7 linked regions of the Callithrix jacchus genome follow. The protein of the gene in region 1 interacts with the protein of each later gene in a pairwise test. Links are inferred from orthologs where the notes say so. Each region holds a gene or a part of one and is shown in the gene's direction. Other genes may lie near its edges.

Region 1 (3,500 bases):
AATACTTAGGTATGTATCTCCTGAAGTACTTTTATTCCTGCTCTTATTGTCACTTCCAAGAAATTTGACATTGAATGTAATAATATTATCTAATATTCAGATTTGTCCAGTTGTCTCTATCTAAAATGTCATCTAAATTCAGGGTTCTGTCAAGGTCTCACATTACATTTAATTGTCATCTCTTTCATCTCTTGAAAGCTAGAACAGTTCCTATCCTTTGTAGTCTTTTTAAATCAACATTTTAAAAAGAAACCAGGTCAGTTGTCTTGTAAAATATCCAACAATCTGGATTCATGTGATTGTTTTTTCATTTTTTGCAAGAATATCATATAATTGAATGTTTTGTGCTCCTCATTTTATCATATCAGGGAGGTACATGATGTTGGTTTGCCTCATTATTGGTGGTTCTAAATTTGATCACTTGGTTAAAGTGGTGCTCACTTTAGGAAAGATACCTTTTACTCTAATTTTAGTTTCCATTGATGAACCCTGCCTGCTTACATTAGGTATTAAACTGATGGTTTCACATCCTCACATTTTTGACTGAATCGATCATGTACCCTACTATGAACCAAGGGAATTTTTCCCCCAGCTTCCTCGTGAAATGGGATATGCATGTTCCAATAAAGACTGGTTGAACTCATTCTGCATTGATTGCCCAATTGCCCAGTTTTAAAAACTGACAGGCTTCCTGGATGTCAGATGAGCAAAAGAAAAAAGAAAAAAAAAATGACAGGCATTTCTGGGACAGTTTCTCACTGTTGACATCCATAGTTGTGTGCTAGAAACAACCTGGCTGCATTTCTTTTTTTGTTAATGGTTACTTTTGTTTTCTGCTCTTAGTGTGGATGATTTGGCTCTGAGCATATATCCACCTATGTGTCACCTGACTGTGCGAATCAATGTAAGTACTGGCTTTGAGGGAATAGCTACATATCTAATGGGAAGAATTTCACTAATCACTAGTATTTCCTCTAAGCTATAGGGTACATATTTATTTGTCACATTTGGATGGAAGTACAACAGTAATGTCGCAATTCTTGCATGCATTTGTGCTTGATAAATATTTGTTAAAGTTGAATTATAATAGCCATGAGCTTTGGTAGTTCTCTCTTCCATCATTACCTGGGTAATCATTTAGAAAAGCCTAAAGGCCTTAGAAAATGCTGCTTTGAGGCTGGACGTGGTAGCTTATGCCTGTAATCCCAGCACTCTGGGAGGCTGAGGCAGGCGGATCACCTGAGGTCAGGAGTTCGAGACCAGCCTGGCCAACATGGTGAAACCTTGTCTCTACTAAGAATACAAAAATTAGCTAGGCATCACATGCCTATAATCCCAGCTACTCAGGAGGCTGAGGCAGAAGAATCACTTGAACCCAGGAGGCGGAGGTTGCAGTGAGCCAAGATCGCGCCACTGCACTCCAGCCTGGGCAACAGAGCAAGACTCTGTCTCAAAAAAAAAGAGAAAAAAGAAAATGCTTATTTGAAAAGAAAGTCTTAATTACACAGTAATTTAGGAACTTCTCAACCTGAAGTCAAAAGTTTCTAGTTTCTAGACTAGGCAGCAATTAGATTGAACTCTAGCTGTTGATGAAGTAGCTCGCTGAGGTTGCAAGTTTCTTAATTCTACATTAGACAGAAATAAGTGTTACAGAAACATACTCTGTTCTAATACAAACACATTGTGTGATTTAACCATGGAGAGTCAAGTTTCTTATAAATATCTGATTTTATTGTATTCTTTGAAGTTCTGTGCCATTTACTAGAGAGAGTTCTTTCTACTGTTATTGGAAAGAGCCCTAAAACTGCCAAATGGCTTATATTTTAAAGTTGAACGTATCAATTCTAGTAATAGCTGATAAATTGGATAATGGAAACTAGATTCGTCAGATGTTCTTCATGATGTACAAACACCTTGAAGTAGAATAGGATCCTTTTGGGCATTAACTTAAAAAATTGACTCCCTAGGAAATAAACATCTTTAGCAGTATGCCTAGTCAACTATCCCAAACATAGCATCTGCTCTAGCAATTTTAAAATGTATACTGCATATGTATCTTTTTTTTTTTTTTTTGAGAGAGAAAGTCTCACTCCATCGCCAGGCACCAGGCTGTAATACAGTGGTGTGATCTCAGCTCACTGCAACTTCCACCTCCTGGGTTCAAGCAATTCTCCTGCCTCAGCCTCCCTAGTAGCTGGGACTACAGGCATGCGCCACCATGCCTAGCTAATTTTTGTATTTTTAGTAGAGAAATGTCTCCATGTTATTATTATATTGGCAGTGTTAAAATCTTTTATAAGGTTTAAAAAAAAAAAAAACAGGAAACTTAGTCATTTCTGCTTTATATTTTGAGCTATCAGCTTTTGGGACCAATTCAGGTTACATTGTTCCCTTTTCTATTCTTTTCTAAATTGAAAATATTTTGGATTTTTAAAATCTTATTAAAACGTTATAGTAACAATATTAACAAGATCTTGCTAAAGAGAAAAGAACCCATAATCCCATCACCCTAACCTAATCAGCATTTTTGTTTTTGCGTGCTTCCTTCAGGGTTCGTTTTCTAAATATATATATTTTAATCATTTGAGTCTTTTAAAATATTTGAGCTTGCCTTTTTATGGTAGGGCTCAGGGTGAGTAACTTCTATGTTTCTTTTCTAGTCTGCGAAACTTGTGGCTGTCTTAAAGAAGGTGCTTGAAATCACAAAGTAAGTATGAAGACTTTTCAGATAGCTTTTTGAGAGTAAAGTGGAGCTCCTGTCCAGACATTCTCAACTCCTAAGCCCCCATTTCAAGGAGTGGGAAAGGGTGGGTGTGGGATTTTCTTTCAACTTCAGTTGTGGGGCAGCTGAGTTTCTGCAAAGAAGCACCCCTTTAAAAAATTACAGTTTTCCCTGTGCTCCCTCCTGAGGACAGGTTTTCCCTGAGGACACCCTAGTAAGTTTAACCTATTTTTTTTTCTATTCTATTCATAGAGCAAGTCATGTGACCCCTCAGCCAGAAGATAGTTGGATCCCTTTACTTATTAATGCCATTGATCATTGCATGAATAGAATCAAGGAGCTCACACAAAGAGAACTTGAATTATGAGTTTTCAGGTTCATTTATACTCTCTTCTCCTCTTCTCACCATCATGGTCAGGCTCTGATGTCTCCTTTTAAAATGGAGCTAGAATGCTTGCTGGATTGAGAGGCAATGCCTGTTTATATTTAGCAAGAGACACTATTACCAAAGATTGTTGGTTAGTCCAGATTGGCACCTATTTACAAACCATATACAAATAATATATTTTTCTGTGCTATATGTAAAAAATAATTGCATGATTTCTCATTCCTGAGTCATTTCTCAGAGATTCCTAGGAAAGCTGCCTTATTTGCTTTTTGCTGTAAATTGTTTTCATTGTAAAGATGTTGATGGTCTCAATAAAATGCTAACCTGCCAGTGATTGAGTGCCCTTCCAAAGTTTCTTTTTACCAGAAATACAGTGGATTGAGACTAAAA
Region 2 (4,080 bases), on another chromosome or scaffold:
AAACCCACAGCCCTGCTATTCAGACCCCTTACTGTTGAGACCCACGGTGGTGGTGATTTTGGATAGACTCATCCCCTTGTAGTTCTTGTTAAACCGGGTTTTCGACTGCTCCAGGAAGGTCTGAGGAGAGAGGGAGGCAGACACATCAAATAGGGACTACAGTGTTTCCCAAGTCTTTTTCCCAAATATCCTTACTCAGGCCTGCTCCTTAAAAGACAAAAAACAGAAACAAAGCAACGTTCTGCTCTTCAAGAAGCTGGCGGTGACTACCCTGTCTTCTCAGAAGTCTGGATTCTGTCTGGGTGGTGAGCATGCAGCTGACACCAGGTCGTGGGGAGGGGCTCAGGCAAGGGAGGGGCACTCACCGTCTTCCCAGCATTGTCCAGGCCCAGGATCAGGATGCAGTACTCGTCCTTCTGAAACATGTACTTGTACAGGCCGGACAGCAGCGTGTACATCCTGCCCTGGACACCCCGACAGATGTCACTGTACAGCAAGAACGCACCCGCCCCCCGAGTTTCTCCACGGTGGTCAGTGGTGCTCCACGTCCAGCTGACCGCTCAGGACTAGAACCTGGGGCCATTCCCGACTCCTCATCTCTCTTCCACCCCATCCCTTTGTGACTCTTCGGCCTCCGTAACTTCTCCCAGATCAGCCACCCTCCGCCACTCCTGCCCCGGGGCCTCCCTGCCCGCGGGACCACCCCGCCAGTGTTCACAGTGAGCTCGGTTGCGCCCCCGCCCTCCCCCCCGCGTCGCTCCCACGCTTCACGCGCGCGGAACGGGGAACGCACTTGCTGCAGCCCCGCCTGGGCACAGCGCCCTCGGGTGTTCGGCCGCGAGCCCCACCCAGTAACAGCCAGGAGCCCCTGCAGGCGCCCCATCACCCCGTTTCTTAAAACGGGGACGGCCTGTGGAGAGCGGACCCGCAGGCAGCGCGCGGCGGGCGGGGACGGACTCCCGCGGAGGAGGAACTGCGCTCGGGCCCCCGGGCTCCCGGCGGCTGCCAGTCGCGGCCGCCAGGTTCGAGGCTCGCCGACAAGCTGCTAAAGCTGGTTCCTGTCACACCCGCGTCCCAACCTCGAGTCCAGGGCCGCCTCTCGGGCCTCGGGCCCGGCCGCACAGCCTCCGACCTACCTGCGTCCGCCGCGGCCTCTAAGCCGCCGCTGCTGACCCGGCACCGACCCCGCGCGGGGCCTGACGGGACGCGGGCCGTGGGGCAGAAGCTTAATCGCGTCCCGGCGGCCTCTGCGCTCCGCTTCCCGGCTGCCACCGCGCGCCAGGCACTTCCGGAGGCGGCTGCGGCGGGAGGAAGTGCCGGTAGGCTGCGAGGGCGAAAGCGGGGCTCCGGCCTGCTTTAGCCGGTGAGGCCGGCGGGCTCTCTATGGAGGCGGCTGGGAAACCGCGCTGAGGAGGTGCGCGGCCCTGGCCGGACGGAAGAGAGGCCGGGCGGGGGTCGGGACCAGCCTGCAAGGCTGCGGGCGCGGCGGGTGCGCTCGGCGGAGGGCCGCGCGGGGTCGCCCTGCGGGGAGGGGGTGACGCGGAACCCGGCTAGCAGCGAGCCCGGGGCGGCTCGGAAGGGAAGTGCGGAGCCCGAGCGGGGGTACCGGGCTGCGACCTCCGCGCCGGGAGCTATCGCTCTGAACCGGTGTCTCCGCGAGGGAAAGGGGACGTGCCCGTGCCCGCCGCAGGCTGTGGTGGCGGCTGCGAGACCCTCGCTCCGTGTCGGTCCCGAGACGCGGGGCTCACCAGGCCCCTCTTCTCGCAGCTCCGGTCCAGCGCCTCCCTCTCTCAACATGGATGAGGACAGCCTGGAGGCTGCCCTGCAGACCTACCGTGCGCAGCTGCAGCAGGTGGAGCTGGCCCTGGGCGCCGGCCTGGATTCGTCCGAGCAGGCCGACCTGCGCCAGCTACAGGGGGACCTGAAGGAGCTCATCGAGCTCACCGAGGCCAGCCTGGTGTCCGTGAGGAAGAGCAAGCTGCTGGCCGCGCTGGACGGAGAGCGCCTGGGCCAGGAAGATGCTGAGTACCAGGCTTTCCGGGAGGTCATCGCCGAGGCGGCCCCTGGGGCCGGATCAGAGACAGTTCCTAAAGCAGAGGCGGGGCCAGAATCTGAGGCAGGTGGGCAGGAAGAGGGAGAGGAGGAAGAGCTGAGTGGGACCAAGGTGAGCGCGCCTTACTACAGCTCGTGGGGCACCCTGGAGTATCACAACGCCATGGTGGTGGGCACAGAAGAGGCGGAGGATGGCTCGGCGGGTGTCCGTGTGCTCTACCTGTACCCCACTCACAAGTCCCTGAAGCCCTGCCCGTTCTTCCTGGAGGGAAAGTGTCGCTTCAAGGAGAACTGCAGGTAAAGCCCTTTGCTGTCAGATGGCAACCTCGAGGCGTACGGGGTGCACATACAGGGTCAGGTCAGGATCGGCCCTCCCTTTGCAGTTGGTCCCAGCTTCCTGGGGCAGGCGGGCTGTGAAAGCAGTATCCTTGTTTAGGCATGTGCCTCTTTCTTCTGGGATAAGAGCAGGATGCATGGAAGGAGGCTAATCAAGGTGGCTCACGCCTGTAATCTCAGCACTTTGGGAGGCCCGGGGGGGAATCACCTGAGGTCTGGAGTTGGAGACCAGTCTGGTCAACATGACGAAACTCCATCTCCATTAAAAGTACAAAAAATCGGCCAAGCACAGTGGCTCATGCCTGTAATTCCAACACTTTGGGAGGCCGAGGCGGGCGGATCACGAGGTCAAGAGATGGCGACCATCCTGGCCTACATGGTGAAACCCTGTCTCTATTATAAGTATAAAAGCCAGCTGGGTATGGTAGTGTGTTCCTGTAGTCCCAGCTGCTCGGGAGGCTGAGGCAGGAGAATCGCTTCAATCCAGGAAGTGGAGGTTGCAGATCACACCACTGCACTCCAGCCTGGTGACAGAGTGAGACTTCGTCTCAAAAAAAAAAAGTACAAAAATCAGCTGGGCGTGGTGGCAGGCACCTGTGGTCCTAGCGACTCAGGAGGCTAAGGTAGGAGAATCAGTTGAACCCAGGAGGCTGAGGTTGCAGTAAGCCAAAATTCAGCCACTGTACTCCAGCCTGGGCAACAGAGCGAGGCTTATGTGAAAGAGAATAGGTCCCCAACCTATTGTCAGTTTTGTTTGTTTTTTTGAGACAGGGTCTTACTTTGTCACCCAGGCTGGAGTGCAGCCTGGACTTCCTGGGCGCAATTGATCCTCCTGCCTCAGTCCCCCAGGTAGCTGGACTACCACACCCAGCTAATTTCTGTATTTTTAGTAGAGGTGCGGTTTTGCTGTGTTGCCCAGGCTGGTCGCACACTCCTGAGCTCAAGTGATTCACCCGCTCTGGCCTCCCAAAGTGCTGGGATCACAGGCGTGAGCCACCGCACCCGGCCCTGTTGTCAGTTTTATTCTCTAGAATTCAACTTTTAAATTTACTTTAATGGAAATTTTGAAACCTGCCCCAGATGAGAGAGCCTAGCATAATCACTGCCCACAGTCTATTATCATTTTGCTTGTTCCCCCGCCCCGCTTTTTCCCTTCCTGGATATTTTAAAGCAAATTTCAGAAGGTACTGGGTTTTTCCAACTATGAATACTTCAGAGTGGATCTCTGATAAGGAAATATTACTTAAAAAGTAACTTTTTGAAAGTCCAAGTCAGTGTGAAGACAAGAAAGAGTCACTTCCACATCATTATAGATAACACGTTTCATGGCAGCACCTCTTCCATGTTCGAATATCCACAGCTATTACCATGATGTCTCCATTTCCATAAGCGCATAGCTTTATTTTTGCTCCTTTTTACTTTTCTCTGAGAAGAAATATTTACCAGGCTTTCTAGTAGGTAATTTTCTTTTTAGCCAATAGTTCAGGCTGGCCAGGTAGCACTCCTAGTTCTTTGGATGTCTTACTTTGTGGGGGTTTTTGTTTTTGTTTTTTTTAAGCAGGGTCTTGCTGCCCTGTCACCCGGGCTGGAGTACAGTGGCACAATCTCAGCTCACTGCAATCTCTGCCTCCCTACTTCAAGCCATCCTCCCACTTCAGCCTCTCTGATAGCTGATACTACATGCGTGTACTG
Region 3 (3,260 bases), on another chromosome or scaffold:
GTCCAGCCCCTGCAAACCATGCTGGCTTCATCTTGGGACCTTCCCTCCATTCTAGCCACTCCAGCCCCCATGCTGTTCTCAAATTTCAGGATCACCTTTGTGTGTGTGTGTGTGTGTGTGTGTGTGTGTGTGTGTGTGACGGAGTCTCACTCTGTCACACAGGCTGGAGTGCAACAGTGCGATATCGACTCACTGCAACCTCTGCCTCCTGGGTTCAAGTGATTCTCTAGCCTCAGCTTCCCAAAGTATTAGGATTACGGGTGTGACCCACCACGTCCAGCCCAAGAGGGGGCATTCTAAATGAGACTGTCCCATGCCAAGGTCCTCTGCCACTTCTAACATCAATTCCCAGTTCCCAGAGTGAGTATGAAACCTGGCTCTGCCATTTCCCTGCTGTCACCTTGGATACATTCCTTAACCTCTCCAGGCTTTCTATCTTTCTCTGTAAAATGAAAATAATAGGCCAGGAGCAGTGGCTCATGCCTGTAATCCCGCACTTTGGGAGGCTGAGGCAAGTGGATCACCTGAGGTCAGGAGTTCAAGACCAGCCTGGCCAATAGCTGGGCTTGGTGGCCGGCACCTGTAATCCCAGCTACTCTGTAGGCTGAGGCAGGAGAATTACTTGAACCCAGGAAGCGGAGGTTACAGTGAGCCGAGATCGCACCATTGCACTCCAGCCTGGACGACAGAGCGAGACAGTGTCTCAAATAAATAAAATAAATCAGATCATGTTATTACTATTTTTGTCTTTTTATTTTTTATAGAGAAGGTCTGGCTATTTTGCCCACGCTGGCCTAGAGGTTCTGGGCTGAAGCCATCTTCCTGCCTCAGCTTCCCAAACTGCCGGGATTACAGGTGTGAGCCACTGCACCCAGCCTGGCTGTTATGATGATTAGGAATCACTTTGAAGTCTACGAAGGGTGCAGCCACTCCAGCTTAGGAGTGGGAGATGTTTGCAAACATGGACTTTCTTTGAACAAATAGGGAAACTGAGGCACAGAAAGTGGAAGTGTCTTCTCAGAGGACACAGAACACCTTGGCGGCAGAGCAGGAACCAGAGACCAGGGGAATGACCTCCTTCCAGATCTCCGTGAAGTACTAAAGTCAGATGGGGGTTATGGGTGGGAGTGGCCCCTTTAAATCCTAAGCTCCACCTTTGCTTAGAAGAGTTTCTGGGGATTATAAAAGGGGGTGCAGCTCCTTTCTACTCCGGGAAACGCCTGCTGCTCTTGCCTTTGCCCACAGGCCTGCAGCCCCAGCCCCTCTCCAGTGCCCACCACCCCTGCTTTGGTGCCATGCAGCTGCCGCAGCTGCCACCCTTCGACATGTGGAAGGACTACTTCAACCTGAGCCAGTTAGTATGGGAGCTGATTGAGAGTCGGGGGCAAAAGCTGGAGACTCAAGAAACTGATGAGCCAAGTCCCGGGCCCCCACTGGGGCAGGATCAGGGACTGGGAGGGCCGGGGGCCCCCGGGGGCCTGGGCACTCTGTGTAACTTCTGCAAGCACAACGGGGAGTCCCACAACGTCTACTCCTCACACCAGCTGAAGACACCGGACGGCATGGTGGTGTGTCCCATCCTGAGGCACTATGTGTGCCCCGTGTGCGGGGCCACCGGCGGCCAGGCCCACACGCTCAAGTACTGCCCGCTCAACGGTGGCCAGCAGTCCCTGTACCGCCGCAGCGGGCGCAACTCGGCTGGACGCAGGGTCAAGCGCTGAGGACCGTGAGATGCCCACCACCCACACCCCTGACCCTCCTGGTCCATCCCACCCAAGTCCCTCCACTCTCTTCTCCAGTCACCCAGCCCTTTGGAATTTCTGGCCCCAAGAACTCCACCCTGCTGGATCCTGAAACAGGGGAGGCTGCTGGGAGCCAGGCCAGCCCCGCCCCCTTGGACCTGTCAGCCCTCGGAGCTCAAGCATCCGAGGGTCCTTGGTGTGCCGGGAACCCGGCCTGCACAGCCCTGCAGCGCCCTCTGGGTCCCGGTTCGTGGATGTTTTGTCCTCGTGGGGCCTGCTGGTGACAAGAGCCCTGCCCCTTCGACTTCTCCGTTCCCCCTGGAGTTCTTGGATATTCGAACCTCCAGGATTCCTCAGTGCTGTTCCAAACCAGCCCTCGGGAGACACTGAACAAGGCTGGTTCAGAAGTGCCCACCCAAGAACTTCAAGACGGGATGTCGACTTAAGACCAGCCTTCTCCACTTTCAGCCTCCTGCAGAACCGCGGTGTCATCGTGGACCACACCGGTTCATTCATTCCCTGCCCTCAGCATCCATCCCTCAGGACCTCAGTGGGACGCTGGACGGCCCCGTGTCCCTGGAGAGCACCATGTCTTCGCAGGCTCACCTATGGATGGAGAGCAGTGGGGTGAGCTGACCCGTTTCAATGCTCCCTGGTTGCTCTTTTCCTTGTTCAGCCCATTGCACTCGGTACCTGCCCCCATCCCCAGATCACCAACTGGTCCTTTCCCCCAGCGAGCCACGCATCTCTCCGCCACCTACCATCCGCCCCCATAAATCATGATACTTGTCTAAAGTACATTTTTTCCTCCTGTGTGTTTCGTCCTCCAACGTTTAAGTCAAGGAAGTTCCGATAAAAAGGAGTTTGAGTACCTGGATGGAAAAGGCAACAGCCTAGATTTTATTTTAGGGGAAAAGAAAAGAAGGGCCCCCGTCAGATTTTAAGTTGTTCAGTTTTTGGCTCAGACCCTGAGTATTGAGCTCTGGTGAATAAAAAGTTTCTACAGTCATCTTTGAAATGGTTCTATCTGTTTCTGTCTTCGGTTTCTTTGTGAGACAGAGTCTTGCGATGTCGCCTCAGCTGGAGTGCAGTGGCGCCATCTCGGCTCACTGCCCGGGTTCAAGTGATCCTCCTGCCTCAGCCTCCAGAGTAGCTGTACCCGGGACTACAGGTGCTCACCACCCAGATAATTTTTGGGTTTTATTGGTTTTTTTTGTTTGTTTGTTTGTTTTTTGACAGAGTTTCGCTCTGTTGCCCAGGCTGGAGTGCAATGGCACAATCTTAGTTCACTGCGACCTCTGCCTCCCGGGTTCAAGAGATTCTCCTGCCTCAGTCTCCCGAGTAGTTGGAACTACAGCCACATACCACCACACCCGACTAATTATGTATTTTTAGTAGAGACGGGGTGGCAAGTAGCTGGGACTACAGGTGTGTGCCACCACACCTGGTAATTTGGGGGTTTTTTGGTTTTTGTTTGAGACAGAGTTTTGCTCTGTTGCCCAGGCTGGAGTGCAATGG
Region 4 (3,500 bases), on another chromosome or scaffold:
GGCTCTGAATGACCATTGGGGCCCACTTGCCTGCCTGTGGGAGTGGCATGAGGGTGCTCCTAGGAGTACTCTGGGGGGCCCCTGCCAGCAGTGGTAAGTGGGCCTGTGAGGGGCAAGTGATGGGTGGTGCCCAGGGTCTGGGGTGTAGTGAACGCTGTGCCCATCCTGCCCAGGATGGTGGGTATATCGGCCTTGTGTCTGCCAGGCATTCCTTCTTCCCAGCCCTGCAGCACTCGGTCAGCAGCCTCGTTTTCAACAGGGTCTTGGTGAAGTGGATTCGATCGGTCCTCCTAGTATCTGTACAGGGGTGTGGCAAGAGGGGAGATGGGCAAGGCCGAGGGAGCCCTTTCCTGGTTAGGGTTCCTGGCAAGGGTGAGACCGGCGGGGCCTGGGCCCTGGCTGACTCTGGCCTGTGACTCCTACCCCGGAGTCTGCCCTTCCTCCTGCTGCCAAATGCTGATGGGCTTGTCTCCGGTCCCAGAGCACCAAGCTGTGGATCATCATGGAGTACCTGGGTGGCGGCTCTGCGCTGGACTTGGTGAGGCCATGGTTGTGGGGGGTCATGCAGTGCCCGAGTCCCCTGCCCCTCAGACTCATGGGCTCCAGGGGCCACCTGTCTCGTGTCATGCTGAGTTAGGTGTTAGTTAGGAATCGTCTAAAGCAAAAATGAACTGCCAGCCGCACATCTGCCCAGTTGGTGCTGAAAGGGGTCCTGGCCTGTGGCAGTGGGTGGGGACAGCACGCTGGGAGATGGCTGGGACCCTGTTTTTCTGCTACACGACAGTAAGGTGAAGCTGGCTTATATGCTTTAGAATGAGCCTCCACTACCCCACTCCCATCTGAGACTTAGTTCTGTTTGAGAGGTAAAGGAACATGAAGCCCCCAGCTCTGCAGGGACAGCCCTCCCCCGTCAGAGGAGCCTGGGGTGGGAGCTGAGGCCTGCTGTCCCACCTTCTCTCCAGCTGAAACCAGGCCCCCTGGAGGAGACGTACATTGCCACGATCCTGCGGGAGATTCTGAAGGGTCTGGATTATCTGCACTCTGAGCGCAAGATCCACCGAGACATTAAAGGTCCTGCTGGGGTGGATGTGGCTCTTGTATTGTCCTGGGCCCCGCTGACCTCAGAGGCTGGGGCCTGTGAGGGGCAGGTGGCTGGTGGTGCCGGGGTCTGGGATATAGAGAACCCTGTGGCCCCCCTGAAACTGAGCAGTGCTGTCTTGCTCCATTTCCAGAAGATGCTGCTCGTAACGGTTTCCCAGTACGCTGAGGAAACCAGCTGTGCACCCAGTATAGGAAGGGGCCACACTTAGATGGAGTTGTTGCTTCCCGCCTGTGGCCCATGGTATAATGGCAGGTGTAGACTGAGTAGCCTTGGCATGTGGTCTGGCCCTGCTGAGTGCAGACGAGAGGCTGGGCCAGCCCATGGGGAGGGACTTACCACTGGCACCGAGCCATCTGCCATGTAGGGGACGAGTCTGGTGGAGCGAGGGGCTTCCTGGCAGGCCTGTGTTGTCCACACCCTGGGTCAGGGTCACCTCTGCACTGGCCCCCAATGGGTGAAGTAGCTCTGTTGTTGGGATTTGTTGTAAAGGCCAAATGCAGGCAGAGCCCTGGAGCTCAGAGTGGGAGCCCTGGGCCTCCTGCTTGGCACTGCCCCAGTGGCCCTAGGTGGCCCTGGGTTTGAGAGTGGCAAGGGGGGCTGAGGTCCTGAGGACAGCTTTTCTGCACCCTGGGAGGCCAGGTGGATGGTACCCTGGCCCTTCTCAGGGGACCCTGGGTGGAGCCATGTGGAGCCTGGGGTGACACCTGCCTGTCCTGTGTCAAGCAGCTGCCAACGTGCTGCTCTCAGAGCAGGGGGATGTGAAGCTGGCAGACTTTGGGGTGGCCGGGCAGCTCACAGACACGCAGATCAAGAGGAACACGTTTGTGGGCACCCCCTTCTGGATGGCGCCTGAGGTCATCAAGCAGTCCGCCTACGACTTCAAGGTGGGTGCAGTGGGCGGGCGGGCAGGTGCGGGCTCCGGTGCACCTGGCTCAGGTGCTCAGGGCAGTGACAGTCCTTGTGTTCTCTCCAGGCCGACATCTGGTCCCTGGGGATCACGGCCATTGAGCTGGCCAAGGGGGAGCCTCCAAACTCTGACCTCCACCCCATGCGCGTCCTGTTCCTGATTCCCAAGAACAGCCCACCCACCCTGGAGGGCCAGCACAGCAAGCCCTTCAAGGAGTTCGTGGAGGCCTGCCTCAACAAGGACCCCCGATTCGTAAGGCCCGCCTTTGGCCCTCCACATGGAGGAGGGAGGGTGTCTGCTCAGTGAGGGCAGCACAGCCCGGAGGCCTCAGCACCGCAGCCTCATAGCTGTGAGGACCCGCTCCGGTCCAGGCTGCCTCATGTTCGCTTCCCTGAGGCAGAGCCTGGCTGGCCTGGTGACCTGTGTTCTGACCCCCCACAGCGGCCCACGGCCAAGGAGCTCCTGAAGCACAAGTTCATCACACGCTACACCAAGAAGACCTCCTTCCTCACGGAGCTCATCGACCGCTACAAGCGCTGGAAGTCTGAGGGGCATGGCGAAGAGTCCAGCTCTGAGGACTCGGACATGTAGGGGCCTGGTTTGTCCTCATGGTGACCCTAGGTGCTTTGACGGGGGTGGTCCCCACTCCAGAGCAGGTGTGGGTGCTGGGGTTGTGGGTGGCCAGGTGTGGTGTGGGGCAGGGACCCCCTCAGGCTGTGCGACAGGGCCTGCTGTGGCATCTGCTGGACGCCATGGCCTGGCAAAGCCCCACCAGGTGCCATGAGGTGTGCCCTGAGGCTCTCGTGCCTCCTGCCCTCTCCCCACTGGCCCTGGTAACTCCTCATCCTCTTCAGTGATGGCGAGGCGGAGGACGGGGAGCAGGGCCCGATCTGGACATTCCCCCCCACCATCCGGCCAAGTCCACACAGCAAGCTTCACAAGGGGACGGCCCTGCACGGCTCACAGAAGGTCTGTCCCTGGCCTGGCCTCTGCCCCATGTGCATGTGCTAGGAAGATGAGGGACTTATTTGGAGCCAGATTTGTGAGGGGAGGATGGGAGTCACAGGAGCCTGGACTCAGGCCATCTGGGTTGCTTGATGTTTTGGAGCCAGTCCTGGGCGTGTGCCTGACAGGCTGCTCCCAGCCTCTGTCCCTTTAAGGCCAGAGCCTGGGCAGGGGTGGGAGTGCCCTGCCTGCTGCCCGCACTGCCCTGCTCACCCTGGGCTTCACCTCTGCAGCCCGTGGAGCCCGTCAAGAGGCAGCCAAGGTCCCAGTGCCTGTCCACGCTGGTCAGGCCCGTCTTCGGAGAGGTGAGGATGGGGCTGGGGCTGGGCTTGGGGTTCCACCAGGGACAAGGCTGTGACACTGTTCCATGAAGTTGTCTCCTCATGGTGTCATGGGGAAGTTTCAGTTTCTAGGTTTCCTGCAGCTGATTATGGGCTGGGTTTTCTGGGTGGAAGGAGCAGAATCTGCTGCGGTGACTCCTTTTGT
Region 5 (4,256 bases), on another chromosome or scaffold:
AAGCCTTTCACACCAAGAGCTCCATCAAAACCCCTCTTCCCAAGTTCATTAATGATCTCCACGTTGCTAAATCCAATGGCCAATTCTCAATCTCATTTAGCCTGATCTACCAGCTGACACATTAGGCCACTCGCTCTCCTCACTTGACTCCAACGACACCTCACTCTCTTGGTGTTCCCCCACCTCCCTGGCTTCTCTTTTCCTCCAAGCACTCAACGTTTGAATGCCCGAACGCTCAGCCACGGGTCATCTCCTTTTCTCTACTGACACTGAGAATGTTGTAGCAATCCCACACGTTTCTTATTTTTATCTTCACACTAAATCTCTTTGTGCCCACACATCCAACAGGTAATTTTTTTGGCTCTACTTTTAAAATAATAATATATCCAGAATTCAAAACCACTTCTCACCACCTCTGCTCCTACCACCCTACCACAAGCTACTGACTTTCACCTAGATTACTGCAACCAGGCCGGGCACAGTGGCTCACACCTGTAATCCCAGCACTTTGGGAAGCTGAGACGGGTGGATCACTTGAGGTCAGGAGTTCGAGACCAGTCTGGCCAGCATGGTGAAACCCCATCTCTGCTAAAAACAAAACAGCCAGATGTGGTGGCACATGCCTGTAATCCCAGCTACTCGGGAGGCTGAGGCAAGAGAATCCCTCCTTGAACCTGGGCGGCAGAGGCTGCAGTGAGCTGAGATCGCGCCACTGCACTACAGAGCCTGGGCGACAGAGCAAGACTCCGTCTAAAAAAAAAATAAAAATAAGATTACTGCAACCAACCCTTCCAGACTTGTATTTAATGCCACCGGTGGAGCTGCCCCAGACCCTTCTCTGGAGAACTCCTATATTACATACTTCTAGAACTGGAGAAGCTCACGCGACTCCCATGACCTGTTTACTTACTTATGGGCCTGTGCCCCCTGTTCTAGAAAGCGAGCACGTGGAGGGCAGGGACGATTCCTCATTCACCTCAATATTCCCATGACACAGAGCCCGGCTCACCGAAAGACACCTTTCCTACGGATCCTATCCGGACCCTCGAGCCAGGAGCTTCCCGTGCCCGGTCTCCGGTCGGGCCGATGCTCCTGGGTCCCCGCCCTTTCCTTCCCCGGCACCGCCTGCCCCCTCAGGCCGCCAATCCCCTCAGACGTTGCCCCTCGACGCCAGGCTCCTCAGCCGCCTTCGACCCACGCCTTGCCTCATCTGCCCCTTCTGAGGTTGCCGCAAAGGCCACTTGGCTCTCGCACTCACTTGTCCTCGTTGTCTGACATGACACCCTAGTCTCTGCGACGCCGCTGCTCCCCAGTGCCGCGCGGAGACCCGCAAACGGCTCCACTACGACTCGCGCGGCGCCACGATTATCCTGCGCTTGCGCGGTAACCCAGAGGCATCACTTCCGGGAGGCAGGACGGCGCGAGAGAGAAAGGGCGCATGCGTTGACTCGTGGGCGCGTTACCATGGTAGCCACGGTAGCCACAGTTGTTAGTTGCCAGCTCTAGCAGCCCAGATCGCGTAGGATTTCTACGTGGCACCGGTGCGGCTGCGGCTGTAAAGCAGTGGTCACCGCCTCCGAGAGCTCACCTCTATGTGGAGAAGGGAGCACCCAGAGGAGGTCTTAGGGTGAAATTTCAATTTTGGCATATCTCTCAGTGGGTACTGTTCTGATCTGGCTATGTTAACACTGCCTTCCTCCCGAGGGGACTTCCCTGCCACAGGCGCTGGGTCAGAATGAGGACTCTGTGTGTGTATCTGTCTGTGTCCGGATGGGAGGTTTGGGCACTGTCTCGATATTAAATGGCGGCATCACGATTCTCTGGCTGGATCCCCGCTTCCAGACTTCTAGGGTGGTGGGCGTGGGGAAGAGGAAATTAGGGATAGGAGACAGAGGGTGTGTCTTTGCATCCTTCCCTCCTCAGGGTCCTTGCATGGCTTCACAGAAGATAGAAGTAGTGACCAAAGCAACGGGGTTCCGGCGCCGCCCCAAGAAGACCACTTACACCCCGGGGACCTGCGAGCTGCTCGAAGGTCAGTGCTTTAAAGCAGCGATCCCCAGCCTTTTTGGCACCAGGGACCGCTGTCGTGGAAGACAAGAACGGTTTCGGGATGAAACTGTTCCACCTCAGATCATCAGGCATTCCTTAGATTCTCATAAGGAGCCTGCAACCTAGATCCCACGCGTGCGCAGTTCACAATAGGGTTCACGCTCCTATGAGAATCTAAGGCTGCCACTGACCTGAAAGGAGGCGGTGACGCTCGCTAGCCCGCTGCTCACCTCCTGCTGTGCGGCCCTGTTCCTAACAGGCCAGGGACTGGTGTCAGTCCAGGAACGGGGGACGGGGCAGGTGGGGGACGGGTGGAAACCCGAGTTAAAGGATGAGAAAAGAATGATGGTAGTTACCCTCTGTAACTCAGTTCTCCCCTACCTGACCTGTGGCTTAGCAATTATTGCTATTTTCCTTTACAGATAAGGAGCCTGGGGTTCAGGAAGCTTCCAAGTTCTACTGCATATACCTTAGTGGGCAGGAGCGGGGGAGGGAGGGAAGGTTCAAGGTGCTACAGCTTGCCAAAAGTCAACTAACATTTTTAGAGTAATTAATTCCTATGCATGCTTTAGATCACACTTTCAACTTTCCCGGGAAGACCTGTCTCCTCCTTACCACCACAGTAGGCTCGACTGTTGTGTGCCCGCACACATTTTCCTTCACTGGGCTCAGTCACTTGGTGTCCCATCTATCCCTCTTTCATCAGCAGGAATCGTGTCTGTTTCAACTCACGACTGTACCTCCAGCCTCTGAAACGTGATGAACAAGTGTTCATGTGTTCTTTTACTCAACCACGTTTTGCTTTTTGAGACAGAGTCTCACTCTGTCACCCAGGCTCGAGTGCAGTGGCGCGATCTCATCTCACTGCAACCTCCGCCTCCCAGGTTCAAGGGATTCTCCTGCCTCAACCTCCCAAGTAGCTGGGATTGCAGGAACACACCACCATGCCCAGCTTTTTTTTTTTTTTTTTTTTTTTGTATTTTTAGTAGAGATGGATGGGGTTTCACCATGTTGGCCAGGATGGTCTCGATCTCCTGACCTCGTGATCTGCTCACCTCAGCCTCCCAAAGTGTTGGGATTACAGGTGTGAGCCACCGCACCTGGCCAACATTTTCTTATGTTTGAAACACAGTTTTGCTCGTTACCCAGGCTGGAGTGCAGTGATGCCATCTCGGCTCACCACAACCTCTGCCTCCCAGGTTCAAGCGATTCTCGTGCCTCAGCCTCCCGAATAGCTGGGATTACAGGCATGTGCCACCGCGCCTGGCTAATTTTGTATTTTTAGTAGAGACAGGGTTTCTCCATGTTGGTCAGGCTGGTCTCAAACTCCTGACCTCAGATGATTCGCCCGCCTCAGCCTCCCGAATAGCTGGGATTACAGGCATGAGCCACCGTGCCCCACCAACAACAACATGTTTAACTCTTTAATGTGCCTTAGACTCTGTTTTAGGTGCTGGGGATACCACAGTGAAAAAAGAAAAAGAAGAAAAAATATTTGTTAACAGAGGGCAGAAATTTTATTAAACCAGCAAAAATTCTTATCATGAGCTAAATAGAAAGATAAATAATAAAATAAAATATATAGAATTTTAGGTGGTGATAAGTGCTGTAGAAAAAACGAAGCAGGGGCTGGGCATGGTGTAATCCCAGCACTTTGGGAGGCTGGGGCGGGTGGATCACGTGATCAAGAGATCGAGGCCATCCTGGCCAACATGGTGAAACCTCTGTCTCTACTAAAAATACAAAAATTAGCTGGACATGGTGGCGCACACCTGTAGTCTCAGCTACTTGGGAGGCTGAGGCAGGAGAATCGCTTAAACCTGGCAGGCGGAGGTTGCGGTGAGCCGAGACTGCGCCATTGCACTCCAGCCTAGTGACACAGCGAGACTCCGTCTCAAAAAAAAAAAAGGAAAGAAAAAGTAAAAACTAAGCAGGAAAGGCATTGAGGATAGAGAAGGCATGCTCAGTGCAGAATGGGGCTAGGATGTCAGGTGAAGACATCTGCCTGCAGCCAGGAGGCCTCATACAAACTGAATGCTTTGTCTTGTAGTGATGATGAAGGAATCCAAACTGACGAACACCCAGCAGCGCCACATCATGGACATCGTGAAAAGTAAGGGGCAATTCACAGCGGCTTCCAGGCCAGAGGGATCTGGGGCCACATTCTTAATGCTTCTCCATGTTAAGGGAGAGAGGACCTCATTTAA
Region 6 (4,290 bases), on another chromosome or scaffold:
TGAATCCTGGGACAATAATAACAGCTACCTTTCACTGGGCCCTGACTTCATGCGAGACACTGTGTAATCTTCACAGTAACCCCTTAGAGTGAGGTAGGGTCATTACTCCATCTTACTGATGAGGAAGCTGACGCACAGAACTGGCCCAAGACCCATGGTCGGCTCAGGCCAGCCCTACCGCGGTGTGGTGGCTGCCCACGTGGCGCCCAGGAAGAGGAAAAATGGCGGGGCGGGGTCGCCAGGCGTGGGCGGGGCCAGGAGTGGGCGGGGCCAAGGGCCGCAGAGCCTGGCGCGTAGCCGGCGAGATTTTGGTAGGGTCGCACCTGTTGCGTGATTCCCCCATAGTCCGGCCGCAGAAGTCCGACCGTAAATGCCTAGGGAGTGTTGAGAGAAACGTGGACGAGTTCCGGGTCCCGCTCTCTTGGGAGCACGTGGCCCACTTGCCTCTCGATTGCGGGGTTGGGTGGTCGCGACGCCGGGGTCGCCTTGAGGCCAGTCCGGCTGCCGAGGTCTGCGGGAGTCCGCCTCCGGCCAGCTGACAATTTTGAAAGACTACCTTACTTCCCCCATCTCAGTGCCCGGGCGAGGGCCCTTGGAACGACTTGGCCGGGGTCTGGGCCCCGACCCCCCTGCCCTCCCTCAGGACCCAGGATTTCTGCTGTGCAGACCCTCGTGGGCAGCCTCCCCTCGGGACTCAGGCAGCATGGCCTCAGGTGAGTGTGTGTGCGGGTTTTGGAGGGAGGGTCTCTGGGACAGAGAAGTGCTGTGACCAGGGTGCCAAGAGAGTGGGAGTCCCAGCGCAGCCTGCAGTACCTAGGGAAGGCGGTCAGGTCCTCCTAGGAGGGCCTGGGGAGCAGAGTCAGAGTGTGCAGAGACAGAGGAAAAATCCGAAGAGGCTGGGGTCTCTGTCCCAGACCCCCAGATAAGGGAGTCTCCTGGCCTTCCTAGGAGGCACCTTTTTGGCGACGGTGGAATTTTCCCAGCACGAGCTCCTCCCTCCTGGGCTGGGATTCTCGGTTCTTTCCCCTCCTCCCAGAGCTGGGCTGCCCCTGAAGCTGAGGGTCAGATGGGGAAGGAAAAGGGGTGCTGGGTTTTCACGGAGTATGTAAGCCTGCCCTGCCCCGGGAGGACTGTATTTGAGCTTGGGCTCGCTCGCGGCTGAATTCCTGTTTGTTATTCTTTTTGGAAGGACCAGCTAGCCTGGACTTTGGCTTGTTTGCCCTGGAGCCCTGGCATGATGGGGTGAGGGCTCTTGGGGACTTAGTGGAGATCTGGGGGCTGGCCCTTCCCCGTCTTGTTTTCTGCCCACCCACTCCCCCGCCCCCTGCCAGGCCCAGACATCATCAGTCACGTCACTCCAGGGACTGAGGAGGGAGGGGAGGAATAAGGGGCAGAGATAGAGGCCCCACTTCCCGAGGTTGCCTAGACAACAGGAGAAATCGTGGCCAAGGCCTCTTCCGCCTGCGGAGCCGCTGCTTCCTGCATCAGTCACTCCCGCTGGGGGCGGGGCGGAGGAAGGGGTTGGATGTGGCAGAGCCAGGCCCCAACCGGTGCCGCTCAGACTCCCCCGCTGTCGCCGCCGTGGTCCCAGCCATGGCATCCTATCCATCTGGCTCTGGCAAGCCCAAGGCCAAATATCCCTTTAAGAAGCGGGCCAGCCCGCAGGCCTCCACTGCAGCTCCAGGTGAGTGTGCTTCCTGGCCTCAGGATAGATGCTAGGCTCTGTCCCGCCACCTCTCGCCCAAGCGGCTGGTCCCTCAGAGGGGGGCCACCTCCTCCGGCATCCTTCTGCAGTGGTGCCCCTCAACCTCAGTTCCAGGGCCGGCTGGCTTGGAAGGTGGGGTAGGGAGGTGGGGGGGTGGATCTGAGATGTCTGTGCCAGGGATGCTGTCCTGTCAGAGCAGTGGGCATGGTGTGGATGCAGCAAGAGGTGTGTATGCACGTGTCAGCGTGTACATGTGCTACGACTGCGTGCGAAGCGTGTGTGAATGGAGTGGGGGGGTGTGGGACTGACTGCTTTGCGGACTGGCCGCTCTGACTGGCGCCTGTGCCTTTACCGGCGGGCTCAGGCTGTTCTCCTGTGGCTAGCTCCTCTTTCCAGCACCCCACATCTAGATCCCTTTCACTGGGGGTCTGACATCTGGGCACAACCATTGCTGGCTGGCATCCCACAGCTGGGGGCTTGACTGTATCTGTTGTTTGCTATTTGCTCATTCCTGGTCTATGTTTTGAGCCTCCTTAGGAGCATGGGGTGTCCTTCGTCAGGTCTGTGCAGGGTTCAGTCTGGGGCAGCTGCCTGCACTGCGTGTGCTCCTGCACCCTTTGGTTCGTCTCTCACTCTAGTAAGCATCTCTGCACCATTGGAGCAGGCAACGTGGTGCGGCAGTGTCTGTCTTAGTGAGGGCTTAGCTGCCTGGCTGTGCGCTTGCAGAGGAATGTCTGCCTGCTGTCTGCCCCCAGGCCTTGTGGCTAAGAAAGGACCCACCCTGACTTTGATGACCAGATCGTGCTTACTGCTCCCACCCCTGCAGCAGTCTGTAGCTACAGCCCGATTATCTACATCCCCTATTGTTTCACTGAAGATGCCTGGTGCAAGGTCTGCAGTGTCCGGAGGTCTGTGCCATCCAGAAAGGGTGTCCTCTGGGTGGGTCCCTCCCTGGCCCTGTTTGGGTCAGCAGTAGGACAACTGGTATAGATCTAGCCAAGAACCAGAGACCCTTTGGTGGTGAGATGGTAAGAGCATCTGATACTTGTGGGTCAAAACCGTGGACACCTCGGTGCCTACTGAGGCAGTCCTGGCAGTGTGTGAGGGGCTCCTGGTCGGGAGGTGAGATGGGGTGCTCAGAATCTCGGAGTTGGTGGGAGTGGCTGTGGAGTGGTCTGCTCTGGCTTTTGCTTGATTCCTACATGAATGTGCGGTGCTGGCCCCTAGAGAAAGGGCCAGTAGGGAGCTGAGTCTTCTAGGACCGGCCTCTGAGAGCATAGAGGTTACTGCCCATGTGTCACCTTCAGTGAGCCCGAACAGCCCTGGAGAGTGGTTTGGCAGGCTCGGGGATGGCGCTGGCTGTTGGGATCTGTGCTGCTCAGCCCAGGATTGCTGTGGAGCCCTAGACCTCCCCTGCTAGGAGAGAGGCTTGAGATTTGGGCCTTTGACTCGACTCCTGGTGTCCCAGTATGAACCAGCCATGGGGGTCTGCGGTCAGCCTCCTCTAGATGGAGTTAGAAGTGGTCTGGGGCCATAGGTAGGGAGGAGGTGTGTAGAATCAGGGCTCTTGAGCAAGAAAAGATCTTACGCTCTGGGGGTGAGGCAAGTTCCTCTCTTTTCTTTTTTTATTTTTTGAGACGGAGTTTCGCTCTTGTTACCCAGGCTGGAGTGCAATGGCGCGATCTCGGCTCACCGCAACCTCCGCCTCCTGGGTTCAGGCAATTCTCCTGCCACAGCCTCCCGAGTAGCTGGGATTACAGGCACGTGCCACGATGCCCAGCTAATTTTTTTGTATTTTTAGTAGAGACGGGGTTTCACCATGTTGACCAGGATGGTCTTGATCTTTTGACCTCGTGATCCACCCGCCTCGGCCTCCCAAAGTGCTGGGATTACAGGCGTGAGCCACCGCGCCCGGCCAGTTCCCCTCTTTAGTCACCCGCATCTCCACTCGTGCCAAGTTCACTGCCCTTTACTGGCCTTTGCCTTCGCCCTGCACTGGGCCTTCCACCGTTCTCAATGGGTGGGGCGACAAGTAGAAGGTATTTGAGGGTCCCAGGAGTTTGTAATTGTAGGCCCTCACCTCAGCACAGCCTGGTGTTATGCAGAATGCTTGCAGAGCCATTATCTCTTATGGCAGCTGTGGCTAGGCAGGAAGGGACCACATACTGTGTCTCACTTGCAGATGAGGACAAAGCCTCCCAGAGGTAGGTGGAGACATGCCTGTCGGCAGGAACAGAATCAGACCCACACCCTCCACATCCTAGCTCCCTTTCTCCCAAACTTATCCTGGACAGTTTGTCCCATCCCGGATGGTAGCTTGGAACAGGCATTGCAGGTCCAGGAGCCTGTGAACCAGTCCCCTGAGCAGCTGGGTGGCGAGGAAGCCTCAGTGACTGGGCCATTTCCTCAGCTGCCAGCCAGCTCCTTCCCCAGCAGAGACCCTGTCTCTCCTGAGGGACCCCATAGTCAGGGCCCAGAGGACAGTGGTGAGCAACAAGGCCACTGCCAGGGGAAGCCGACCTGGGGCTGTGGGTGTGGAGAGAGCTGCTCCTCTCCTTTTTCTCCCCTCTTACCCTTTGGCCAGC
Region 7 (3,500 bases), about 13 Mb from region 1:
AACACATCAAATATAAAGTTTTAGCCATGGATTGTGAGATTATGACTAATTTTTAGTTTCTTTTGCTTCTTTGTATGGTGCAAATATTTGCAGTTTAAAAATGTATTATTATTATAAAGGGAACAAAAGTTATTTTTTAAACCCTGATTAAATATCTAAAACTCTATTTTATCCAGAATACACCTTTTTGTAAAGAAATATGTGCTTATTCTAGACTTTGACAATGTTTGGCTTAGAAGTAGATGTAACTACTGAAAATTGATCATTATTTTATAAACATGAATAGAGATAAGCCCTTTAAATAAGACTCATGTTGCAAAGGGACTCTTTACAAGAATTTATTCACAAAGTTGTGTGTGTGTGTGTGTGTGTGTGTGTGTGTGTGTGTGAGACAGTCTTGCCCAGCCTGGAGTGCAGTGGTTTGATCTTGACTCACTGTAACCTCCACCTCTTGGCTTCGAGCAGTTATTGTGCCTCAGCCTCCTAAGTAGCTGATGGGCCATCACACCAGCTAATATTTGTATTTTTAGTAGAGATGGAGTTTCACCATGTTGGCCCATCTGGTCTCGAACTCCTGACCTCAGGTGATCCTCCCGCCTCAGCCTCCCAAAGTGCTGGGAGGCATAAGCCACTGTGCCTGGCTACAAAATTTCTTTAACTTGAGTACCAATAGCCTATGGTACAGCCACCAAAGACACCTGCTAAAATATTTTTTCAGTGCTTTGAAGGCAGCTGCCACTACCTGAAGGCTGTAGGTAAAATTGCTAACTACTTTAATTTTGTTTTCATTTCTCTTTCACTTATTTTCTCTCCTTCCAGGCCCTCCTACCTTTTCCAGATACCTTTTCTTACTCTCTTCCATATAATCTCTAGGTACCCTGTCTTATATTGTCTTTTGCATATCTAAACCCTCCTTCTTTCTACCTCTTACCCTTATCACTTCCCCCAAACGAAATTTCATGGCCTGGCACAGTGGCTCATGCCTGTAATCCCAGCACTTTGGGAAACTGAGGCAGGCAGATCACTTGAGGCCAGGAGTTCGAGACCAGCCTGGCCAACATGGTGAAAGTTCATCTCTACTAAAAATACAAAAATTTGCCGGGCGTGGTGGCAGGCACCTGTAATCCCAGCTACATGGGAGGCTGAGGCACGAGAATTGCTTGAACCCGGGAGGTGGAGGATGAGCCAAGATCATGCCTCTGCACTCCAGACTGGGTGACAGAGAGAGACCCTGTCTCAAAAAAAAAATAAAATAAATTTTCATTTCACAATGTAATTTTTCTCAGGAAAGTATTGAAGTCATTTATTTTCTTCTCTATAAAGAACAAATGATTAGGTTTTCTAGAATAATATGACTGCTAAGATATCAAATTAAGTTAATACTGATAGTATTATCTTGGCTGGGCATGGTGGCTCATGCCTGTAATCCCAGAACTTTGGGAGGCCGAGGTGGGTGGATCACCTGAGGCCAGGGGTGATCCATCTTTTTTAGAAGAGACGGGGTTTCACCATGTTGACCAGGATGGTCTTGATCTCTTGACCTCGTGATCCACCCGCCTCAGCCTCCCAAAGTGCTGGGATTACAGGTGTGAGCCACCGCGCCCGGCAGTATGGCAGAATTCTTAAAAGCTTGGAGTATAGATTCACCTTGCCTAGGTTCAAATATCGACCATACTAATATGTGACTTTGAAATTTTTTAGCTATACTCTTTTACTACTTGTGACTTTTGAAAGATAAAACCCTGCAAGGTAGACTTAACTTTAATACGATTCTCCTATGATTTATATTTTTAGATTACATGTGAAAATGAAGTTATGCAAACCCAAGGCCATGCTGATAATCCATCTAATAATGTCACTGCAGTGCCTACTCACTGTGAAGAAGGGCCAGTGCATAAAATTACACAAATTTCTTTGAAAAGGCCTTCTCACCGTAGTGTGGGTATGTTTTGACTCCAATGGATTAAGCAATTAAATTGATCTTTTGCATATTCAAGATATATGAAAAGCAAAGTCTAACTCCTCGGTACTTACACTTATTCTCTTCCAGGTATTCAAGCCAAAGTGAAAGTGTTTGGAAAAAGACTGTAATGCAACTACTCTATTGTAGTCTAGAACTTCTTCTCTCTTTGACATTTACTCCAGTGATTCAGAAACAGATACAGACTGGGATATCAAGAGTGAACAGAGTGATCTCTCTTATATAGCTATACAGGTGAAAGAAGAGACATGTTAAAAACCCAACCTCAAATGCTCTGATGTGCTATAGATTTTCAAATCTTTACTGTTTTTGCTATTGTAAATCTTTCACTTCAAGATAATTTGACAGTTGAGTACCAGCAAAATTTGTTTAGCTCTATGGCAAAAGTTTGCTTGCTTGCCACATAATGAAGATAATCCCTACCCACAAACATCCCTACACTCTACTTTCAACACTTTTTTCTTTTCTTTATTTCTTTTTTTTTTTTTTGAGAGGGAGTTTCACTCTTGTTGCCCAGGCTGGATGGAGTGCAATGACATGATCTCAGCTCACCGCAACCTCCGCCTCTCAGGTTCAAGGGATTCTCCTGCCTCAGCCTCCCAAGAAGCTGGGATTATAGGCATGCACCACCACACCCAGCTAATTTTGTGTTTTTAGTAGAGACGGGGTTTCTCCACATTGGTCAGGCTGGTCTGGAACTCCCGACCTCAGGTGATCCATCCACCTCGGCCTCCCAAAGTTCTGGGATCACAGACATGAGCCATCATGCCCTACCTCACTTTTTTTTTTCCTTTTAATCCTTTCGGTAGAAATCAGGTTACAAAGCAAAACCGCAATATCAACAACGTATTCTAATCACAGTTAAGCATTGAATATTTATTTAAGCTTAGTTCAGAAGCAGTGCTTCTATGGGATTTACTTGACATTTGCTGGTTAGAATGTCACTATTCTTCTAAATAATTTGAAGGAATAAAGTAATAACAGTGAGCACAGCCGTGCCTGACACTACTAATTGATTTGGTAGTGAAATCTAGAACTTCTTCTAGAATGACATCTACCCTTGACTACTTTTTATGTTATTTATTTATTAGTTTGTCAATTGATAACATATATGGATCTGTCCTGTGAGCATTTCTGATGAATCTGTGGTTCTTACAGAAATTTTTCAAAGAGAATCAATTTAGAGATGGAGTTTTCATACACTTACATTAACTTATTAATGAAATCTATTTGCATCAGTTCCTACTGCAACACATTAATTAGCTTGATTAATTTAGAATCATTAACATCATGAAAAAAAGTATTACATTTCTAATGTATTCCCATTGCAGGTGTTAGGTTTTCTTTCTGTCAATACCCCTCTTTTGAATTCTACATTTGAGAAATAAGCATGGAAATATTAGCTACCCCATCTGCCATTCACCATGAAAAATTTCTCTGGTGATTTTGTACCATGAAGTAAATTGTTACAGTGGTTTCTGAGAAGCATACCATAACTCTGATCTTCTATTGAGAATAG

Evidence for each region.
Region 2: the proteins of CCNDBP1 (region 1) and ZGPAT interact in binary tests that used the Homo sapiens proteins (3 or more experiments, as listed by UniProt). The two-hybrid records come from large-scale screens. The link is inferred for Callithrix jacchus from reciprocal best matches to the Homo sapiens genes CCNDBP1 and ZGPAT.
Region 3: the proteins of CCNDBP1 (region 1) and NANOS2 interact in binary tests that used the Homo sapiens proteins (3 or more experiments, as listed by UniProt). The two-hybrid records come from large-scale screens. The link is inferred for Callithrix jacchus from reciprocal best matches to the Homo sapiens genes CCNDBP1 and NANOS2.
Region 4: the proteins of CCNDBP1 (region 1) and STK25 interact in binary tests that used the Homo sapiens proteins (3 or more experiments, as listed by UniProt). The two-hybrid records come from large-scale screens. The link is inferred for Callithrix jacchus from reciprocal best matches to the Homo sapiens genes CCNDBP1 and STK25.
Region 5: the proteins of CCNDBP1 (region 1) and C1H22orf23 interact in binary tests that used the Homo sapiens proteins (3 or more experiments, as listed by UniProt). The two-hybrid records come from large-scale screens. The link is inferred for Callithrix jacchus from reciprocal best matches to the Homo sapiens genes CCNDBP1 and C22orf23.
Region 6: the proteins of CCNDBP1 (region 1) and AMPD2 interact in binary tests that used the Homo sapiens proteins (3 or more experiments, as listed by UniProt). The two-hybrid records come from large-scale screens. The link is inferred for Callithrix jacchus from reciprocal best matches to the Homo sapiens genes CCNDBP1 and AMPD2.
Region 7: the proteins of CCNDBP1 (region 1) and THAP10 interact in binary tests that used the Homo sapiens proteins (3 or more experiments, as listed by UniProt). The two-hybrid records come from large-scale screens. The link is inferred for Callithrix jacchus from reciprocal best matches to the Homo sapiens genes CCNDBP1 and THAP10.

The regions. Positions count from the first base shown.
Region 1 is NC_133509.1:30,932,093-30,935,592, forward strand, and holds the end of CCNDBP1 (cyclin-D1-binding protein 1), read left to right. Parts: intron 1-843; coding exon 844-904; intron 905-2,660; coding exon 2,661-2,707; intron 2,708-2,974; coding exon 2,975-3,089; 3' UTR 3,090-3,444; downstream 3,445-3,500. UniProt on the Homo sapiens protein: May negatively regulate cell cycle progression. May act at least in part via inhibition of the cyclin-D1/CDK4 complex, thereby preventing phosphorylation of RB1 and blocking E2F-dependent transcription.
Region 2 is NC_133506.1:59,197,956-59,202,035, forward strand, and holds the start of ZGPAT (zinc finger CCCH-type with G patch domain-containing protein), read left to right. Parts: upstream 1-1,280; 5' UTR 1,281-1,319; exon of another isoform or gene 1,320-1,414; intron 1,415-1,767; 5' UTR 1,768-1,795; coding exon 1,796-2,349; intron 2,350-4,080. Other genes in the region: ARFRP1 (ADP-ribosylation factor-related protein 1), read right to left, coding at 33-120, 366-458. UniProt on the Homo sapiens protein: Transcription repressor that specifically binds the 5'-GGAG[GA]A[GA]A-3' consensus sequence. Represses transcription by recruiting the chromatin multiprotein complex NuRD to target promoters.
Region 3 is NC_133523.1:40,065,208-40,068,467, reverse strand, and holds NANOS2 (nanos homolog 2), read left to right. Parts: upstream 1-1,211; 5' UTR 1,212-1,295; coding exon 1,296-1,721; 3' UTR 1,722-2,760; downstream 2,761-3,260. UniProt on the Homo sapiens protein: Plays a key role in the sexual differentiation of germ cells by promoting the male fate but suppressing the female fate. Represses the female fate pathways by suppressing meiosis, which in turn results in the promotion of the male fate.
Region 4 is NC_133507.1:162,779,750-162,783,249, reverse strand, and holds part of STK25 (serine/threonine-protein kinase 25), read left to right. Parts: intron 1-481; coding exon 482-538; intron 539-962; coding exon 963-1,071; intron 1,072-1,828; coding exon 1,829-1,986; intron 1,987-2,075; coding exon 2,076-2,261; intron 2,262-2,450; coding exon 2,451-2,596; intron 2,597-2,863; coding exon 2,864-2,978; intron 2,979-3,247; coding exon 3,248-3,319; intron 3,320-3,500. UniProt on the Homo sapiens protein: Oxidant stress-activated serine/threonine kinase that may play a role in the response to environmental stress.
Region 5 is NC_133502.1:208,953,240-208,957,495, reverse strand, and holds the start of C1H22orf23 (UPF0193 protein EVG1), read left to right. Parts: upstream 1-1,456; 5' UTR 1,457-1,656; intron 1,657-1,923; 5' UTR 1,924-1,932; coding exon 1,933-2,032; intron 2,033-4,099; coding exon 4,100-4,162; intron 4,163-4,256. Other genes in the region: POLR2F (DNA-directed RNA polymerases I, II, and III subunit RPABC2), read right to left, coding at 911-972.
Region 6 is NC_133508.1:147,514,377-147,518,666, forward strand, and holds the start of AMPD2 (AMP deaminase 2), read left to right. Parts: upstream 1-1,490; 5' UTR 1,491-1,525; coding exon of another isoform or gene 1,526-1,593; coding exon 1,594-1,684; intron 1,685-1,855; exon of another isoform or gene 1,856-2,733; intron 2,734-4,290. UniProt on the Homo sapiens protein: AMP deaminase plays a critical role in energy metabolism. Catalyzes the deamination of AMP to IMP and plays an important role in the purine nucleotide cycle.
Region 7 is NC_133509.1:17,925,339-17,928,838, reverse strand, and holds part of THAP10 (THAP domain-containing protein 10), read left to right. Parts: intron 1-1,794; coding exon 1,795-1,942; intron 1,943-2,050; coding exon 2,051-2,091; 3' UTR 2,092-3,500.